Cricetulus griseus: one gene and its partners. The protein of the gene in region 1 interacts with the protein of each later gene in a pairwise test. Links are inferred from orthologs where the notes say so. Each region holds a gene or a part of one and is shown in the gene's direction. Other genes may lie near its edges. The genes, in order: Nif3l1, Dmc1, Rabac1, Cdkn2c and Natd1.

Evidence for each region.
Region 2: the proteins of Nif3l1 (region 1) and Dmc1 interact in binary tests that used the Homo sapiens proteins (3 or more experiments, as listed by UniProt). The two-hybrid records come from large-scale screens. The link is inferred for Cricetulus griseus from reciprocal best matches to the Homo sapiens genes NIF3L1 and DMC1.
Region 3: the proteins of Nif3l1 (region 1) and Rabac1 interact in binary tests that used the Homo sapiens proteins (3 or more experiments, as listed by UniProt). The two-hybrid records come from large-scale screens. The link is inferred for Cricetulus griseus from reciprocal best matches to the Homo sapiens genes NIF3L1 and RABAC1.
Region 4: the proteins of Nif3l1 (region 1) and Cdkn2c interact in binary tests that used the Homo sapiens proteins (3 or more experiments, as listed by UniProt). The two-hybrid records come from large-scale screens. The link is inferred for Cricetulus griseus from reciprocal best matches to the Homo sapiens genes NIF3L1 and CDKN2C.
Region 5: the proteins of Nif3l1 (region 1) and Natd1 interact in binary tests that used the Homo sapiens proteins (3 or more experiments, as listed by UniProt). The two-hybrid records come from large-scale screens. The link is inferred for Cricetulus griseus from reciprocal best matches to the Homo sapiens genes NIF3L1 and NATD1.

Annotation. Positions count from the first base shown.
Region 1 is NC_048595.1:412,833,963-412,838,061, forward strand, and holds the start of Nif3l1 (NIF3-like protein 1), read left to right. Parts: upstream 1-1,292; 5' UTR 1,293-1,510; coding exon 1,511-2,033; intron 2,034-4,099. Other genes in the region: Ppil3 (peptidyl-prolyl cis-trans isomerase-like 3), read right to left, coding at 301-329, 1,136-1,214. UniProt on the Homo sapiens protein: May function as a transcriptional corepressor through its interaction with COPS2, negatively regulating the expression of genes involved in neuronal differentiation.
Region 2 is NC_048595.1:376,733,200-376,736,621, reverse strand, and holds part of Dmc1 (meiotic recombination protein DMC1/LIM15 homolog), read left to right. Parts: intron 1-3,194; coding exon 3,195-3,311; intron 3,312-3,422. UniProt on the Homo sapiens protein: Participates in meiotic recombination, specifically in homologous strand assimilation, which is required for the resolution of meiotic double-strand breaks.
Region 3 is NC_048602.1:9,714,289-9,718,517, reverse strand, and holds the start of Rabac1 (prenylated Rab acceptor protein 1), read left to right. Parts: upstream 1-1,423; 5' UTR 1,424-1,541; coding exon 1,542-1,597; intron 1,598-1,769; coding exon 1,770-1,982; intron 1,983-2,221; coding exon 2,222-2,319; intron 2,320-4,229. UniProt on the Homo sapiens protein: General Rab protein regulator required for vesicle formation from the Golgi complex. May control vesicle docking and fusion by mediating the action of Rab GTPases to the SNARE complexes.
Region 4 is NC_048595.1:40,159,791-40,163,796, forward strand, and holds the start of Cdkn2c (cyclin-dependent kinase 4 inhibitor C), read left to right. Parts: upstream 1-1,201; 5' UTR 1,202-1,472; intron 1,473-1,484; exon of another isoform or gene 1,485-1,813; 5' UTR 1,814-1,824; coding exon 1,825-1,953; intron 1,954-4,006. UniProt on the Homo sapiens protein: Interacts strongly with CDK6, weakly with CDK4. Inhibits cell growth and proliferation with a correlated dependence on endogenous retinoblastoma protein RB.
Region 5 is NC_048600.1:74,899,578-74,903,545, reverse strand, and holds the start of Natd1 (protein NATD1), read left to right. Parts: upstream 1-1,163; 5' UTR 1,164-1,198; coding exon 1,199-1,295; intron 1,296-3,968.

The DNA of each region.
Region 1 (4,099 bases):
TTTTAAAACATGGCTGAGAGTTGGTGGGCCTTTAATCCCAACACTAGGGAGGCAGAGGCAGGCGGATCTCTGTGAGTTCGAGGCCAGCCTGGTCTCGAAAAACCAAAAACAAAAACAAAAAAATTAAAACATGTAATAGGGTGCAGACATGGCTTGCAGTAAGGAGCACTTGCTGCTTTTACAAGAGGACCTGTCCGGTTCCCAGAACCCACACCTGCTAGTGGCTCCAGCTCCAGGGAATCCGACGGGGTTAAAAACAAGCCAACAACCACCCAGTTAGAAGAATTCTACAATACTTACCATCCTCCCTCTTGATGGTTCCAGGAAGCCTTGCAGAGAAAAACTGAAGATGAGTTTTTAATCCTAAAAGAGGAATTAGTTCATTTTAACCCTATCTTTCCCAGCACACTTGTTCATCTTTATGGTAGATTTACAAAGAAAAGCTTATAACATCCTCTAAATAAAAATCCTACCATAGAAGTGTTGAGATCCTACCCAACGCAACAAGCACCCCTCTCTCCCAACACTCTACTTATTTTTCTCATCTTTCTTCAAGGCTCTTTCTGTAGGCTAGACATATTCCCACCTTCCTGTCTATTGGTCGAGCTAGGCACTGGCGCACCCTTTACCCAGACGTCTGTACAATAAATTTCACTCTTCACAGTCTTTTTCTAACCCCAGGTCTTACTAACCTGACAATCGTATTTAAAAGCGCCTTTCCCATATGCTCTATGTGCTTTCCCCGTGGTAGTGGTCACTAGCAACATACATTCTTCAATCTAAAGTCCCAGAAAGACCATCTGCAGCCCAAGAGTTCATCACGAGTAACCCCAAGAAACAAAACGGGCCAACGTGGGGTGCAGCAGGCATCGAGTGCACGCACAAAAGGAGAAATGCCGTTACCCCACACTTGCCCACTTCGCTGTCACCGCCGCTGCGGAAACAGAAAAGACTCAACCTCAGGTCCCCGCATGTCTGCGGGTTCCAAATGAGTGTTTTTGCCCCACCGGAGCAGAGCGCGGGGCCCTTCGCAGAGAACATCTGCTTCCCGTCAGTCTCCCCTCTCAGCACCTCACCTCTCGGCCCCCCACCTAACAGCGAGAAGGTTCTCCAGACAGTCACACTAAGAAACAACCTGCTGCTGTCCGTGCAACTTCATGCAGGTCTCTGGAGTCGGAAGCAAAACGCACAGGACCACTTCCGCCCAACTTCATTCCTACATTGCTGGTAGCTTCAGGGCAGAGCGGAAGTGACGCACAGAAGAGTTTCTGGGACCGGTGAGTAGTGGGCGAGTGAGAGGCTCGCGGGGTTATCTGTTCCTCTCGCTGAAGTTGCACTTCAGGGAGGCCTGTAGCGATTACAGGGTGCCACGGGGGATGAGAACACGGGAGATGGGGGCGGGACACTCCCTTGCTGCAGCAGGGGCGAGGGTCCTGACTCAAGGACTACAGCTGTGCCACATGGCCCTTGCTTGTTCTGGAAAAGACCTTGAACCAGCTCTTTTACTCACATGCTTTATGCCTCAAAGTGCAGAACTGAACTCTACATAAATGCCATTTCCTGTGTTTTGACTCCAGACACGGTTTTACCTGGTTTCTGTATGCTGTCATCTGCACACCTGCTACCTACAAGTGTCCGACTGGCCCCGTCCTGGATCTGCCGGTCTTCTCGTTCCTTCATGGATCTGAAGGCTCTGCTTTCCTCCTTGAATGACTTTGCATCGCTCTCATTTGCTGAGAGTTGGGACAATGTGGGATTACTGGTGGAACCAAGCCCTCCCCATACTGTAAATACACTCTTCCTGACCAACGACTTGACTGAGGAGGTCATGGAGGAGGCTCTGCAAAAGAAGGCAGATCTCATTCTCTCCTACCATCCACCAATTTTCCGGGCCATGAAGCACATAACTTGGAAAACCTGGAAGGAGCGCCTGGTGATCCGGGCACTGGAGAACAGGGTCGCCATCTACTCTCCCCATACGGCCTATGATGCTGCACCCCAGGGAGTCAACAACTGGCTGGCCAAAGGGCTTGGTGAGAAATCTCGTGTCCTTCAATATTTAGTGATAGCTCTACAAATACTTTGAAGTTTTAAAATGTCTTCTTATTATTCATTTTTTTTCTAGGGGAAATGGGTTTTTCTATTTTTATATAGTACTAAAAATAATGTGTTGCTTAGATTTGATAATTGAGTTTCCTTTAAAAATGTATTTATTTTTCTATCTGTTGAGTGTTTTTGCTTGCTTGTATGTAAGTGCCCCACATGTGTGCGGTGGGTTCTGGATCCTCTAGAGTTGGAGTTACAGTCAGTTGATGAAGGGCTCCAGCAGGCTCCAGCATGGCAAACATGGTGCCAACAGGTTTTGCTTTTTACCCCTCTCCCACTTGCTAATCTGTTCTATTACATTCCTAAAGCTAGCCCCTGAAGTCCACTCCCTTATTTGGCCACTGACTCATTCCAGAGACAAAACACCGAGGTCCAACAACCAAAATTCATTATTTGGCTAACATGTTCAATCAGGATCTACCAACTCCCCCAAGCACAGACTCCCCCTTTTTCTCCTTAAAACCCACTCCTACAAAAAAAAAAAAAAAAAAAAAAACACCTGTTTTCTTGCTTGCTTGTGCTTGCTCTTGCTCTTGGCCTTGCTCTTGCTGCTTTTTGCTTTTGCAGCACCCACCCCGCCACCTCCAACCCTCCTTTGTGCTGAGAATTTGGTGTATAGTTATGTCCTGTTCTGACTCTAGCAGGGCCAGCCTTCTCCCTACAGCTGTGAATTGCTATGTGGATGTTGGAATATCAAACACAGGCAGGTCCTCTGCATGAGCAAGGACTGCTCTCCACTACTGAATCAGCTCGATAAATAAATGAACTATTTATTGAGGCTGAAGAATTGGCTCAGCAGTTAAGAAAACGTTTTTGTTGCTCTCACAGAGGACCTGGGTTCCCAGCACCCACATGGAGGCTCACAACCATAGGTTAACTTCAGTCCTAGGAGAACTGATGCCCTCTTCTGGCCTCTGTGGACACACACACATGATGTTTACACATAACACAGGCAAAACACTCAGGCACATAAAATAATGAAATAAATAAATCTAAACAAACTCTTTAAAAAAAGAAAGAAAAATGAAACAATGTAAATTAGGCTTGGTGTAGTATAAGCCTGTACTCCAAAATCTTATACTTTAAGAGTCCAGGAAGCTGAGTCAGGAGAGCATGAGTTTAAGGCCAGCCTGAGCTATACAGTCAGACAATGGCTACATTGAATATCATCCCACCAAAACCAAACAAAGCCGGGCGTTGGTGATGCGTGCCTTTAATGCCAGCACTTGGGAGGCAGAGGCAGGCGGATCTCTGTGAATTTGAGACTTGCCTGGTCTACAAGAGCTAGTTCCAGGACAGCCTCCAAAGCCACAGAGAAAGCCTGTTTTTGTTTTACTAATGGGTCTCCTGTTGCTCAGGCTGGCCTTGAACTCTATGTAAAGTATTGTCCTAATCAGGTTTCTATTGCCCTGATAAACACCAAAAGCACCTTGAGAAGGAAAGGGTTTGTTTCATCTTCCATCTAACAGTCCATCATGAAGGTAAACCAGGGCAGGAACCTGCAGACAGGAACTGAAGTAGAAGCCATAGAGGAACACTGCTTATTGGCTTGATTATGGAATGGCTTTGTTGTGCCCAAGTCTCAAAGATCCCCAAAGACCACCAGGGAGACAGACCCACTGAACGCTTATGGCTGGATTAGCCTACTCAGGGTCCTGGGTTTTCCCACATCAGCCCTTAATCAAGAAATGCTCCACATACTTACCAAGTGGCACTCTGACTGAGGCGTTTTTTTCATTTGAGGCTTCCTTTTCCCAGCTGACCTTGACTTGTGACAGGCTGACAAAAGCTAGCCAGCACCAGGGGGATGAGCAAACAGAGCATGAGTCTTCATTGCTAGGTGGCTTCATGATTGTTCAGATGACACGGTGTCAGTACCCCGGGCACTCTGAGCTGTGTGAATCAAAACTCAACCTTCGGGAGATGCCTTCTAGGTTAGTTACAGAGACACCAAGGTTTCTGTCTGGTTTCTTGTTTATTTTTATTTATTTAT
Region 2 (3,422 bases), about 36 Mb from region 1:
CCCATTTCATCTCAGAACTATTCTTCATGAGCCCTGCTAATTTGGAGTTGGATGATCAGAATGATAGACATGTCCTGTTCAACCAAAGTGGGAAAATCTCTTTCAGTTCCTCCTTGTTCCTAGTATCTACCCTCCCTCATTCTCCCAAGAAAAGAGGAAAAGAGAGAAGAAAATGTAAAAGACTATAAGAAGCACGTGGGAGGCTTTCTGATGCTGTTAACTTGGTCAGAAATAGATGTAAATTAAAGCCCTCTGAAGGAATGCGGGGTGCTATGCCACCTTCTTGTATGTCACCTCAAGACTGTGAATGCTGCAGTAGTCAGGAAGTACAGACACTGAGAAAAATTTCTTGGATTATGTTTTGTTGAAAAATGATTATTTAAATTGAACTGTTTAGTTAAATAATAAGCAATTTATTGAGGATATCTTATATGATAAGTTTGCTGTCAGGGTAGAGCTAATGTGTCACAATGATCAGCCATGGTTCCTAGTACACAGTGGCTCCCAATGAGTTATTCTTAGTATCTTGAGTCCTTGCAATAGTCCTAAAAGTTCAGGAGTTCACCTTTCCCCCTCATTTTACTATGAAAGAAACTGGGTAAAGTAAGTAGGTAGTAAATGTTTGAGTCAATAATAGGAAAACAGATAAATAATAGCTGTAGTCTCTAGGCTAACACTTTGCCTGAATTATTTCATCTTATTCTTACAGTTGTCCTACAAGTTGGTACCATTATTATTTACCATGAAAAGTCAGAAACAGAATGGTTAAACAGTTTTCCTGAGGTCACAGAGCTGACAAGCAGACTTTGAACTCAAGTCTAATTCAAAAGCTCATAAACCATACAACACATCAGACCTGTGCCTGCCAGAGGGAAAACTAGCATGTTTTCAGGGATACACTCATTATTATAGTGAAATGACCACTGTTCATGGCCCTCAGCCTTTAAGCATAGGTGTGATTGGATTAGAGAATTCTTCTCTCAGGGGGAACATAAAGCTAGCTTATAAGACTCAGCAAAAAGACAAAGGACTAGTCTGATAAAGAAAATGTAACTACATTCAAAGTTCATGTGACCAGTGAGTGAAATCTCCCTAAATATAGACCTCTAGCAGAATCCAATTTTTAATCCAAATTGTTAATAACTATTAAATCTGGCTTCGGATCTCAGCACACACTTCATGTGGTTCACAACTGCATGTAACTCCAGCTGCAGGGAATCTGACACCGCTTGCCTACATGGACAACTGCACCCATGTGCACATACCCACATACACGTAACTTCAAAACAATTAAATAAACTTCTGGGTTTTTTTTAAAGATTTATTTATTTATTATGTGTACAGTGTTCGGCACCAAATCTCATTACAGATGGTTGTGAGCCAACATGTGGTTGCTGGGAATTGAACTCAGGACCTTTGGAAGAGCAGGCAGTGCTCTTAACTGCTGAGCCATCTCTCTAGCCCCAAACTTCTGTTTTTTGAAGAAATTTTCACTTTGAAAATATATGCACCTAATAGAAGCATTGCCTTGGTTTAAAGTAAAATCACCTTGTTTTGCAACATTGCAAATGATTAATTTAGACAAGATTTATTGACTGGTGCTAAAATAAATGGTGAAAGCTTATTGTAAAACATGATGTTACATTCATAAATTACTGAATTTCCAAGAGGTATTTTTTGTGTCTTTTCTAATGAAGAACTCTCACAAACACCATCTATTTATTTTGTCTAATTGGCTGGGCTTTTTGTTTGTTTTGTTTTTGTTTTCAGACAGGGTCTCACTATGTAGACCTTGAATTTATAGATCTACTTGGCTCCTCCTCCTGAGTGCTAGGATTAAAGGTGAGCATCATCACACCTGGCTCAAGAATACTATCTTAGCCAGTGGTGTTGGTGTACACCTTTGATCCCAGCACTAGGGAGGCAGAGGCAGGAGGATCTCTGTGAGTTCGAGACCAGCCTGGTCTACAAGAGCTAATTCCAGGACAGCCTCAAAAGCCACAGAGAAACCCTGCCTTAGAAATGGGAATGTTAGTTCCCAGGTATCTCTCAAGATGAATACCAATAGTATTTGTAACTTCTTTTCTGTCATAATATGATTTTTGAATCACCATGACTAGACATAGATAAGAGCTTACCTTTTTGTGTGTGTGTAATTATTCTTGTATGTATGCATTGATGTTGCACATGTATGTGCAGGCCAGAGATTGACATCAGGTGTCTTCCTCTGTTGCTTTCTACCTCAGTTTTGGGACACGGTCACTAACTGAACCTGGAGCTTGCCAATTCAGCTATACTGGTCAACCAGCAAACTCTAGGAACCCTCCACCTCTTCAGCACTAAGAGTATGGGCACATACCACTGCACCCAGCTTTTAAGACCTTACTCCTTAAATATCCATATTTATAGAAATAAACTTTGGGCAACAACAAAAATATTTCAAGATTGTTTTCACTGCACATTCGTAACTTGTACAACATTGAAGGAATCCACCATAAAACTTATGAACAAGAAAGGCTCTCTCGAATGGGAATGTAGCTCAATAGTAAAATACTTGCCTGGTATGTGTGAGGCCCTGAGTTCCATCCACAGCATCACAGAGGAAGAGGGGAGGGAGAGTTCACAATTTACTTTTTTACAAAGCCTCAAGGAGAAAGTTTATCAGTTTATTTACTTACCTACTTAGAGATAAGGTTTCACCATGTAGCCCAGGCTTGCCTTGAACTTTCAGTCCTCCTGCCTTAGTCTTTCATCTACCTAGCTTAGATAATTCTTATTCATCAGACTAAAATAGTGCCTGGTACATGGAGGTACTATTTTAGTACCTCCGAGAGAGGTGGATCTCTGTGAATTTGAGGCCAGCCTGGTCTCTAGAGTGAGTTCCAGGACAGCCAGGGCTACACAAAGAAACACCATCTCAAAGCCACCACCACCACTACCCCCAAAAAATAAAAACAAATAAGTATTTCTGATAAAAGAGTTAGTGAATAAATCAATCCAGTATTTGTAGTTTATAAGGAGTTTTTTTCCAAGACAAAAAAGGCACACCTGAGGTTGACCTCTGAAATGCTTACATACACACAAAGAATACACACCTATTTCCTCCCTGCCATTCCACTCACAGAGGCTGCTGCTTCCTTGGAAATATCACTATATATCCAAATGAAGTCTGAAGAAATGTTTTATTGATTCAGTTTCCAGGCAGATCCCAAGAAACCCATTGGTGGACACATTCTGGCTCATGCTTCAACAACAAGAATAAGCTTGCGGAAGGGAAGAGGAGAATTGAGGATTGCCAAGATTTATGACAGGTATATACTTCTTTATTCTTCTTCAGATCCTGTTCACATGCCTTTAAACAGAATTGCTAGCCCTGAGAGACTATCCATTGAATTAACAAATGAACTTTTTGTTTGTTTGTT
Region 3 (4,229 bases), on another chromosome or scaffold:
AATAAAGTTAAATAATTAAAAAAATAGTTAAGCACCCTGACTGCTCTTCCAGCACCCATATGGCAGCTCACAACTGTCAGCAACTCCAGTTCCAGGAGACCCAACACTCTCACACGGACGTGTATGCAGGCAGAAGACCAATGTACATAAAATAAAAACAAATCATTTTTAAAAACCAGGTGGTAGTGTCACACACCTTTAACCCAAGCACTAGAGACAGGTGAATCGCTGAGAGTTTGAGACCAGCCTGGTCTACAGAGCGAGTACCAAGGGCTATGTAGAAAGACCCTGTCTGGAAAAAGTAAATAAATAAAACAGATGTTTTAAATGAAAATAAAAAAGAGGGTTTGGAGAGATGACTCAGTAGTTAAGAGTGTGCGTGCTGCTTTTCCAGAGGACTAGAGTTCAGTTCCCAGCCCATGTATTTTGAACAGCTCACAATTGGTGGTAACTTCAGTTCCAGGGGGGGGATGTAATACCCTCTTCTGGGCCTCCTCAGGCACCGTCACCCATGTGGCACACACACATAAACCATTTATTTTTAATTCTTTTTGGTTTTTGGAGACAAGGTTTCTGTGTAGCTTTTGGAGGCTGTCCTGGCACTTGCTCTGTAGACCAGGCTGGCCTCGAACTCACAGAGATCCTCCTGCCTCTGCCTCCCGAGTGCTGGGATTAAAGGCTTGAGTCACCAATGCCCGGCAGAAGCCATTTTTTAGAAAAGATATTTTAAAAGTTATGTGTATCTGTGTAAGTACACGTGAGTATGTTTGATTGACTAGAGCTGGATATATACATATATAATATTTTTAAAAATTTATTTATTATACAGTGTTCTGCCTTCATGTATGCTATATGCCAAAAGAGGGCACCAAATCACATTTGTAGATGGTTGTGAGCCACCATGTGGGTTGCTGGGAATTGAACTCAGGACACCTGGAAGTGGAAGAGCAGCCGGTTCTCACACATCTGAGCCATCTCTCCAGCCCCTATAATTTTTGTTTTGTTTTGTTTTCTAAGGAAAGAGAAAGTTAATGAACTCCACCCCAGACCAGCCCAATCAGAATCAGAATATCTGAGGCTGCGGCCAATGTTTTTATTATTATTATTAATTATTTATTATTATTATTATTATTATTATTATTATTATTATTATTATTATTATTATTATTATTATTATTATGCCGTCTGGAGTCAGGATGATAGCTCCGCACCCTCCACGGAATCCCGCAGCTGCCATGCCAACTCCCGGTAAAAACGCCCCATCCTAAGAGCCCACGCTGCACGCTCTGAAACTACAGTTCCCACAATGCCTAGAGGCCCACGCGGCGCTCTTGGCATACTTCTCCCGAGGTGTCTTGCGAGCCCGACCGACCTCCTGACGCCGCAATGACTACAACTCCCAGAATGCTCGGAGACGCAACTACCGCCCCCTAGAGTGCCAAGCGGCGCCATGTCCTGAGCGTCCGGGCTCGGGCGGGGGCCGGCTGGGTGCGGCGGGGCTCGAGGCTGTCCGCGGCGATCCCACACACCGCAGCGTAGACATGGCGGCCCAGAAGGACCAGCAGAAGGATACGGAGGTGGAGGGGCTGAGCGCCACGTGAGCGAGCAGGGTGTAACCCCCCATACTCCCGAGCGTGGGGTCCCAGGCGTCCCGGCCCCCGGGCTTTGCAGAGGAGATGTCCCCCGGGGGCCGCGATGTGCTGGGATCTGGGGTCCGGGCCCTGGGACCGCTTGCGGCTGACCTGCCCCCGCCCCGCCCCGCCCTCCAGGACCCTGCTGCCCAAGCTGATTCCCTCCGGCGCCGGCCGAGAGTGGCTGGAGCGGCGCCGCGCGACCATCCGGCCCTGGGGCGCTTTCGTGGATCAGCAGCGTTTCTCGCGACCCCGCAACCTGGGCGAGCTTTGCCAGCGCCTGGTACGCAACGTGGAGTATTACCAAAGCAACTACGTGTTCGTGTTTCTGGGCCTCATCCTTTACTGCGTGTGAGTGCCTCGGCAGCCCCGCCCTCCTGCGCCAGGCCCCGCCCCCTGTTGCCAGGCCCCGCCCCCCGCCGGTTAGCTAGGCCCAGGGCCTTGTCACCCGAGCACCCAGGAGTCGGTCTGTATTCCTGAATCCACCCGAGCCGGGATGCAGTCTAGCCACCCCATGTGATGCCCAAGGCTAGAGGGAGCCGGCTCACACAGCCTCAGACGCCTGACTCCTGTCTCCCACACTCTTCCAGGGTGACATCCCCCATGCTGCTGGTGGCTCTGGCTGTCTTCTTTGGCGCCTGTTACATTCTCTATCTGCGCACGTTGCAGTCCAAGCTTGTGCTCTTTGGTGAGAAACCCCCCGCCCAAACGGATCCCCAGGTCCCACAGAACTGCAGACCTCCGAATATTTGGGAATCAAGTCGGTCCCACCGAGAGGTGCACTAGAGTCATTAAACTTAGTCCTTAAGGTCGCAGGTGAATACCCTCCAGTCTCAGCTCCCCAAAACCCAGGGAGAGCCCTAAAACCCCGGCTCCTGTGTCTCCTGTAAAATGAATCAGTCCTTCCCAATCCTCCCCGGGGAGAGCATCCGCTGCAGGTACCCACACTGGACACCAGGTGGCGACCGTGTGCAGGCCTAGGTCTGTCTGCCTTCCCATGCCTTCTGTCCCAGGGCTGAACTGGTAAGATACTAGATATTTCCAGAAGGGGAAACGGAGACCTGTCCGCCCACTGGGAAGAGAAGTGTCAGGGAAGACCCACTGAGAGGAAATCCCAGGTTTGCCAAGGAGACCTGTGACAGTCTTTCAGGTCCCAGACAGGTTACCAGAGGAAGATGGACTAGGGCCGAGCGAGAAGAGCCTGAAGCACAAGAGAACTTGGCCTTGGCAGATAGTAGTCACTAGGGCATACACAATTTCCAGACATAGGAGAGCCTGAAAAAAATTGTTTTGAGATAGGGTCTTCTTACGTAGCCTCGGCCTGCCAGGAGCTCACTCTGTAGACCAGACTGGCCTCCAACTCACAGATTTCCCCTGCCTCTGCCTCCTGAGTGCTGGGATTAAAGGAGTATGCAACCATGCCCTAGCCTTACAAAATTTGTTAAGCACCCAGAAGGCAGGCCCTCTGGGAAAGCAGCAAGTGCTCCTAACTGCTGGGCCGTCTCTCCAGTCCCCACAAACCAGATTCTTGTGAAACACTTCAAAGACAGACAGACGTTCTGGCTCATGCCTGTAATCCCAGCATTTGGGAGGCTGAAACAGGATGATTGCTGTAAATTCAAAACAAGCCTGGGCTTCAGAGTCTTTTAAAAAATCAAAATGAGCCAGGCATTGGTGGCGCACTCTTTTAATCCCAGCACTCGGGAGGCAGAGGCAGGCGATCTCTGTGAGTTCGAGACCAGCCTGGTCTACAGAGCGAGTGCCAGGATAGGCTCCAAAGCCACAGAGAAACCCTGTCTCGAAAAACAAACAAACAAACAAACAAAAATCAAAATGAGAGCTGGGCATGGTGGCACACACCTTTAATCCCAGCATTCGGGGTGAGGCTGGTGGATCTCTGTGAGTTCAAGGTCATCCTGGTCTACAAATCGAGTTCCAGAACAGCCAGTGCTATACAGAGAAACCCTGTCTCAAGTTTTTAAAAAACAAAAAATCAAAATAATGGTTTGGAGAGATGGCTCAGTGGTTAAAATTGAATTCTGTTCTTGAAAGGACCCAGGTTTTGTTCTCAGAACCCAATCCCCATGTCAGGTGACTGTCACAAGGCCACCTGTCACTCCAGCTTCTGGCCTCCATGGGCACCTGAACTCTTGTGCACATATGGCCACACAGGGTACATACACGTAATTCAAAGTAATAAATAAAATTATATAAGTTAAAAATAAGAAGACAAAAACCCTTAGGTCATGGACTGGAGAGATGGCTCCGGGGTTAAGAGCACTGACTGTTCTTCCAGAGGTCCTGAGTTCAATTCCCAGCAACCACATGTTGGCTCACAACCATCTGTAATGGGATCTGATGCCCTTTTCTGGCACGCACTGTATACATGATAAATAAATAAATCTTTAAAAAAAAAAAAAAACCCTCTTAGGTCAGACCTGGCAATGGGGCCACAAGGTTGAGAGTCCTGGTATCCAGGCTGGGACATGAGGCTAGCCTGGTCTGAGAGACAAGTGGCTTGGGAGGTCCTGGGGAGGGGGGGATAGAGAGCAGAGCTGGGGCTGAGGAAGGTGGTTTCATTCTGGTTATGTTTGGGGA
Region 4 (4,006 bases), about 370 Mb from region 1:
GCCAGCAGGCCCGTCCGGGCGGCACCGATCCCGCTTCGGCAGGGGCGGCCCGCAGGGAGGGCGGCCAGGAACTCCGCGGCCGCCGGGCTGACCCAGGCCCAGCGCGGGCCGAGAAGAGCGCGGGGCCGCGAGGGCGGAGCGAGCGCGCCGCCGGCCAGTGCGCCGCCAGGCGGAGGGCGGGGCGTGGGCGGCGCCCGGCCTTCCCGCTCCCGCGGCGCGCTAACTCGGCGGAGCCTCCTTAAAACTCTGCCGTTAAAATGGGGGCGGGTTTTTCAACTCAAAAAGCGCTCAATTTTTTTCTTTTCAAAAAAAGCTGATGAGGTCGGAAAAAAAGGGATAAGAAACCGGCACCGTCTCTGCAGAGGCAACCGAAGCAGCAGTTGCTTCAGCGGAAAAAGAAGCAAAGGAGGGAAGGAAGGGAAAGATCCTAAAGGGGAAAGACGCGCAAGTGCCTGTGGCCGTGAAGAGAGCCGCGATCAGAGATTTTGGGGAATCGGACTACAAAAGAAACTGTCAGCTGCGGCTCGCGAGGGTCCGGCGCTGCCTGGCTCGGCTCGGGGACCCAGCTGGCTGGCAGCCGCTGCCCTGTCCCCGCGGTACAGACTTAGGGGCACAGGCCGGAGGACCGCGGACAACTGGCCAAGTGGCAACAGGCGCCCGAGCTGCTGGGCGGACGCCAACAAATCGGCGGGACTGACTGCGCCCGGGAACTGTGGAGACCGCCCGTACTTCCAAGGACCCTTCCCATCACCGGAGGCCCCCGGAAAATCGGAAAGGAGGGAAAGACCGTTGCAGAGGCGACAGCCGCCCCTCAGTGAGAGCTTGCAGTGCAGAGCCTGAGCTAGCTCGGTCGTGGGCGGGAAGTTACTGGAGAGCTGGCCCGGTGCAGCCGCGATGCTACGGCGAGCTGCCTCAGCGACCGGAGCCCGGTAGACGCGTCCTTCGCCGCCCTCCTCCTTTCTCAGGCTGCCGGGAGTCCCGGGACCCGGCGGGACCGGCATGACGGGCTTGGCGGGGGTCTGCCGCGCGCCCACCAGCCTCCGGAGACCTGCGCCCTGCCCGGCTCCCACGGCCTCTGAGGCTCGGCGGGGCTGCGGCTGCGGGCTCCGGGGGCTCTTCTGAAGACGCCGAGCCCACTGGGGAGTCGTTGAGACCCGAGAGTTGAGGGCCACGGAACTGCTGCTCCCGTCTGCCTTGGGCGATCATCTTTAACCCCCCACAGCACGTCAGCATCCAGCCACCGCGGCGCTCTCCTAGCGAGCAGCACTTGGGACTACCCCCTTCGGCGAGACGGATGGAAAGCGAGCCCTACGGAGGACTTGTCCCTGAAGTTCTGCCTCAAGTCACCATTGTAAACAAGGGTGGGTTAATGCCTTTTCTCCTCTCCAATACTTTTTCTTCCGCAGTGTTTTCTGAGCTGACCTAGTCTCTTACGTCTCCGCACATCCTCCTCACAGAACTGTGAAGTTTAGGTACGTGACAGCTCTGCCTGCATCTCACGTCCAGAGTAATTAATCAAGAATGCCTGTGTGTCTGTATGTGTCTGTTGAATCGCCAGAATCCTTCTTAGGGGTTAAGCTAAAAAGCTAGGAGAAGAGCCCCTCTCCAATGGGCTCAGTTTTGCTGAATAATCACGTGTGAATCAAGGGGCGGGCTTTTGGCAGGCCGACCTTACTAGTATTTACTACCAAGCTCTACTCTAGATTAACCATCCCAGTCCTTCTGTCAGCCTCCGATGCCATCATGCAGCCTGATTAGGAGCAAAGGAAAGGGGGAAAGGAGAAGCAACTAATCGTCTTTTCCCGATCGTCAGGACCCTAAAGAATGGCCGAGCCTTGGGGGAACGAGTTGGCGTCCGCAGCTGCCAGGGGGGACCTAGAGCAACTTACTAGTTTGTTGCAAAATAATGTAAACGTCAACGCTCAAAATGGATTTGGGAGAACTGCGCTGCAGGTTGGTATCCACAGAGGTGGGGAAAGCGAGTCAATAAGGTTGCTTGGGCTTCTAAAATGACAGTTTTTAAGTTTTGAGGGGTACAAATCGTCACGGTTTTAAAACCTACTTGGTTGCCATATTTTATATCTTTAAGTGGATCCAACTCCCCAAAATGACGTACTTTGAAGAAACTCGTCAAATCCAGTAACATCCTCGGTATAAAGAGAATCCTAGGTTTGGTCATATTTTTTGGAATGTTTTTGTGACAGTGAAGATTTTAAAGTAGTCTTAGCGTCGAAATCTGTTTGTTTTGTGCTGTGTTGTTTTAGATAGCTCTTTAAGCACATTATTATGATTATTATTTGAAGTAAATACACAGTTAATAGTGGTTTTCACCTATTTTGTTCCCAATAATTGACTTTAAGGTTAATTTCCCTGACTACTAGGAAGGGTGTTTTTCCTTAAGCTGTTTCATGTCTTAACAAACGACCTTTCCTCGTTTGGAATGGGATAGCCTGGGCACCAGGACAGGATGTATATTCCACAGTTACTATACTACCTAACCCACCCATTCAGGATTGAGGAGAAATAAAAAGTTGAATTTTCTAATCAGAGCTAAGCAGTAATGTTTTTATTTTCCCCGTGGTCATGCGGTGGTATGCTCTATTTTTCAGTAATTAGATTTACAGGCAACAAATGACACATGTCCAGCTGCCAAGTATGTACCTGATAATATTTTTTTCTCCTCCAAATGTTATCATGTAATTTTGCTGGAAGGCTTAGAAACAAACAAACAAAAAAATAGAAAAGTGATCTCTATACACTAGTTGCTTTTATTGGTGTTCAGATGGTACTCCTGGGAGCTTTTCCTATCCATGAGCAGCTTTTGAAAACCCACTGGGATAAGGGCATTAGAGAGCTCTGTTTCTGTTTTTAAAATTAGAAATTTAAGTGACAGGATGCCACAGTAGAAGCTCACACGGCCTGTATATTTTAAATCAGAGTATAACTGGCCTTGCAAAATTTTCACTATTGAGGTGGCTCATGCAGAGATACTAAAATATTTATCCTGATTCAGGTAGATTAAATAAGGAAAGGTTTTGCTTTTGTTTTACCATCTAACACTTTTGTACTGGTTTGGTGATGATAGATAGCAATGCCTTAAAAAGGTTTTCTATTGAAAAGACAAAAGATAGGTCAGTTTCACAAAGTCTAAGCCACTTCATTCATGTTCAGAAAAAGATAGTACAGAATCTTTTACAAACAAGACAATTGGGTAATTAAGATAATTGGATTTTGACAAACATTTTTTTAAAAACTAGCCACTTTTGTTTTTATATTAACAAACTTAGATAATACCCACTTATAGCTTAATATCAGTACATATAATGAAGCATACACACACAAATAGGAGTCTTTTTCAGTATGCATAATCCTGATTCTGAAATTGTGTCATCAGAAAGAACTTTCTTCAAAATCATTTGCAATATTACTATTACTTTCTGCCAAAGATGGCAGATTTTAATCTGTGATTATGTTTCCTACTCAACTGCAGAAGCCTTTTTTTTCTTTGCTGTTGTTTTCAAGGAGAATAATAAAAGACCTTCATGGTATATTTGCTTTACAAAGTTCTAAGGTGTCTATTTCATGTTTAGCTCACTTTAACTCTTTAAATGTGACTAAGGTTCTAGAGAGATGTGGCAAAAATTAAAATTAGACTGTACTAATTTTTAATAACCAGAAAATATATTCCATGGAGGCTCTGGAAAAGTAAATTTTGGGTCATTTTTCTACTGTTCTAAATGAAGGGGTGACAGGGTTTATTAAAGTGAAAACTTAGTATCATGAGAAAGTGAGTAATTTGCACTTAAAATATTATTCATTCTAAATATATTTTAATAATTTGTTATTCTTTTAAAAACATCTTAAAGATATTCATATTTTCAAATGTGTTACTTTTGACTAATAAATATTTAGTGTCTAGTAAGTAGCTCACTTATATTATTACATAACTTATTTTATAAATATACCTAAATATACATGAAACCAGTTCAAATGCTGGAATTTTGTG
Region 5 (3,968 bases), on another chromosome or scaffold:
ACACAGTGATGAACATGGTAGCAGCAACATCATGGCTGATCACAAGTGATGCCTAGAAACTAAGCACTAAACTAGGGGGTGGAAGCACATGCCTTTAATCCCAGCACTCAGGAGGGAGAGACAGGTGGATCTCTTAGTTCAAGGCCAGCCTGGTCTACAGAGTAATTTCCGGGACAGCCAGGTCTACACAGAGAAATCTAGTCTCAAAAGAAAAAAAGAAAAGAAAGGAAAGAAACTAGATACGAAATGTTGTGTAGTTCCATTTTATAGGATGTTCTTAGGAAAAGCTGACAAGTCAATAGTGCTAAAGTCAGGGAGCAGCAAGGCACCAATTGGTAGGGGATCCATGAAGATCTCCATTTGGCTGTTAAGTGCTCCCTGGCCCCACCACCACCACCCACACAGTTTGTATTGGCTTGAACTCACAACCTTCAAGCACTCTCCCACTGAGGTATACCCAAGCTTTCTGTATGTCCATCTGTGTGGTGGTCTCAGAGATGTAGACATCAACTTTGCACCTTAATAGAAGGTGATTCTGTGAACATCTATGGCAGGCTTTCCAAATACTATTTGTTTGAAGAGTAGTTCCAAATATTATAGCTTCTAGGGAGACACTGGTTCCTGGATAGCTAGCTCCCCAGGGACCTCGCCTCGCATTTCTGCTTTTTTTGGGGGAAAGGTGTCTTTTTCACCCAGTCCCAAACATGCCTGGGGGTAAATCTCTCAAATCTCTCAACAGCAGCTTCAACTACCCCGGGTGGATGGACTACACAGCGCCAGTCCCCGCAGGGTTCCAGCTGAGATTAGATTGCCTTTTGATGTCCAGCCACAGTAAAATAGGCTATCTATGCCTCAAGCTTGCCAATGCCCAATATTCGATGGCTGTCTTTGGGAGAATCAGAATTGCCCCACAGGTCGTTATGTGTTTTTTCAGATAGATCCGTGTGGGTCCCAGAGATGCATCTGGGCCAAATGCCAGGACAATCGACACCCTTGAGGGACCAACACATCATTTGTTGAGGCAGCGACAGAAACGCGCCACGCGGCCTCTTTAAGAGACGCCAGGAATGTATCCAAACAGACCGTGCGCACGGCGCACGTGACTCACAGCTGATTTCCGGCCCCGCCCCCTTCTCCGGCCCGCGCCGCCCGAGAGTCAGTTCGCTGCGGCCCGCGGTCCCCAGCTTCGGCGCGCGCGATGGCGCACGCAGCCCCGCCGAGCGCGCTGGAGCAGAGCGGCCCCATCCGCGTGGAACACGACCGCCAACGTCGCCAGTTCTCCGTGCGCCTCAACGGTACCGCGCTGCCTTTGTTTGCGCGCGCGCGGGCGGGACGGGGCGGGACCTGGCGGACGGATCCCGGGGCGGGAGGGCTCCAGAACCCCGACAGGCATCGCCGGAGCGCGCCCGCCCGGGCAGCCCGCACCTGCTAGCGCTGCCGGCTTCCGGCGCCGCGGACGGAGGGCTGCCACTCTGCATCCCAGAGAGCAGGTCGCTGATGACCTGCCCCCCCCCGACCCCCCACCCCCGGTGTTTGGTTGCTTCCTGCCGTCCTGGAAGAGCCTGCGCGGGCCTGGGGCATAACCCAGGGAATTTGTGGCCTGGAGGAGGAGGCGGGTAGGCGACTCTGAGATTTTAGCCAACTTCTCCAGTCGATGTGTGCCTCGGCCTCCCGGAATCTGACTTGGGGCTGTAGTGAAGACTGCTTTAGCTGACAGTGAGGATGAGATACTGTGGCAGTAAAGGTTCAGAATGACACATTCGGTGCACAGCAAGTGCTGATAAACATAGGTAAATGGCTACTTTTCAAACCAGAGAGCTAGGTCAAGGCCTCATCTTCTGTAGCGTTTGTACCAGCAGACCGACACTCCTCCCATTGATCCCGGGGGCTGGAAATGATTGTGAAATATGGGACCTTGAGTTCTTTGTAGCCCACCCCTCCCAGCTGGGCCCCCAGGGCATGTCCGTGACCAGACTTAGAGGCCACTGCGCCAGTTTTGAAGGGACATACTTGGGTGAGGTCAGCCAGTAAGTTGTACAGCTGTGAAGGTAATGAGCAGCCTATGCTGACTTCCTGAGCCAGCCTTCTGTGACCTGCACTTGGTCACAAGCAGAAGAGGCCTGGTCTCCTGTTTGTGCCACCCAACTACAGGGGAGGCAGCTGTCACTTCCTGTGTTGTGACATACCACCCCACATCACACATGAGTAAACTGAGGCTGGGGCTCAGGAAGTGACTTGTCCTGTCATATTCAAATCTGAGCCCAGCCGCCCCTTTGCCATGCCCATGCCCTTTCCATAGAGAAACAAGTCCTGTTGTGACACTTGGCCCTAGTCACTTGAGAGGCCTTATCTGAGGTTTTTCAGAACCTCTTATCTGAAGTAGTTCCAGGGAGGCTATGATTCTCCAGGTGACTCCGGAGGCCCATTAGATCCACAAAGAGAAAGGTGGAGAACTCTTGGGTTCCCCCTCCCCCTTTCTCTTCCAGGTGGGTCCAGTCAAAAGAATAGCACTCCATGCTGACTGTGAGCAGACTATAGCTTTAAACTTAACCCTTCTGGAACCTGCTGCTCTGTCACTTAACACAAATGGTGCCCTAGGGAGACAGGGTGGCTAGAGGCAGGCAGCCCCTCCTCTGCTCCTCCTGCACAGCCTGTACAACTAGGATTCATTCCACTAGTATTAACTGAGTACCTACTGTTTACCAACGTTCTTCAAGATGTCCAGGACTTGTGGGGCTGACAGTCTAGAGGGGGAGATGGGCCTCAAATAAATTACATAGTATCTTGTAGAACAAAAGCCCTTGGGAGAAGTGACACTGGGCAGAAGGAAGGATACATTGGGGCAGAGCTGCCCTTTAGCATCAGATTCCAAGAAGTTGGCTTTTTTTGATTGATTGGTTTTGGTTTTGGTTTTTTTTTTGTTGTTTTTTTGTTTTGTTTTGTTTTGTTTTGTTTTGTTTTTGAGACAGGGTTCCTCTGTGTTGTTTTAGAGTCTGTCCTGGAAGCTCAGTAGACCAGGCTGGCCTTGAACTCACAGAGATCCGCCTGCCTCTGCCCCTGAGTGCTGGGATTAAAGGCGTGTGTCACCAACACCCGGCCAAGTAAAGACCTGAATAAGGCAAGAAGGCACTGAAGAGGGCACCATGAGAAAGACACAATTGAGAGGGAAGGCCCGACAGTACCCATTGTGTATTCAGAGCAGCCAGGAGCAGTGCGTGGATAGAGGAGCATGGGCAGTTAGGGAGAGACTGAGAGCTCACAGGGGAAGAATAGTATAGGACCTGGGAATGTTACCTTTGACCCTGAGCACTGTGGGTTCCTGAAAATGCCCTGGGAAGAGGACAGATGACATGGACCAGGAACCCTAAGGCTGGAATGGTGGGGAACATACTGTGGGGAGCTGGCAACTACACTGGTCCAAGCAGTGTGAGCAGGGGTGGGAAGAAATGTCCTAAGTCCTGAGCTGATATGACAGGAAACATGGAGAGAGCTTGTTGGTATGGAATGTGAGAGGAGACTAGAATTCAAATATATATGACCCCCAAATTGAAGTTCTCAAATGCTGGATGTGTGGCCACTGTTTTCATAGGTGGGAGACCAGGGCACAGGGCTGGTGAACAGCAGCTAGTCCAGACCCTGAAGTTGCTTTCTGAGGGTTGTCATCTAAAGATTGGAAGAAGTCAGATAAAACCCCTGCCTCCAGCCCCTTCCTTGCCTTCTCTTTCTTACCTCAGCCAGGGCCAGCCACTCAGGTTTGTGTATGTGTTTTAAATATTTGTTTTTAGTGTGTGTGTGTGTGTGTGTGTGTGTGTGTGTGTGTGTGTGTGTGTGCCTGCCGCGTGCGTGTGTGCGTGTGACATGTATTCCAGTGCCTGGAGAGGTTAAAAGAGGACATCAGATGCTGCAGCTGGAGTTACAGGCAGGTGTGAGCTGCCAGACATGAGTGCTAGGAACTGAGGGTCCTCTGT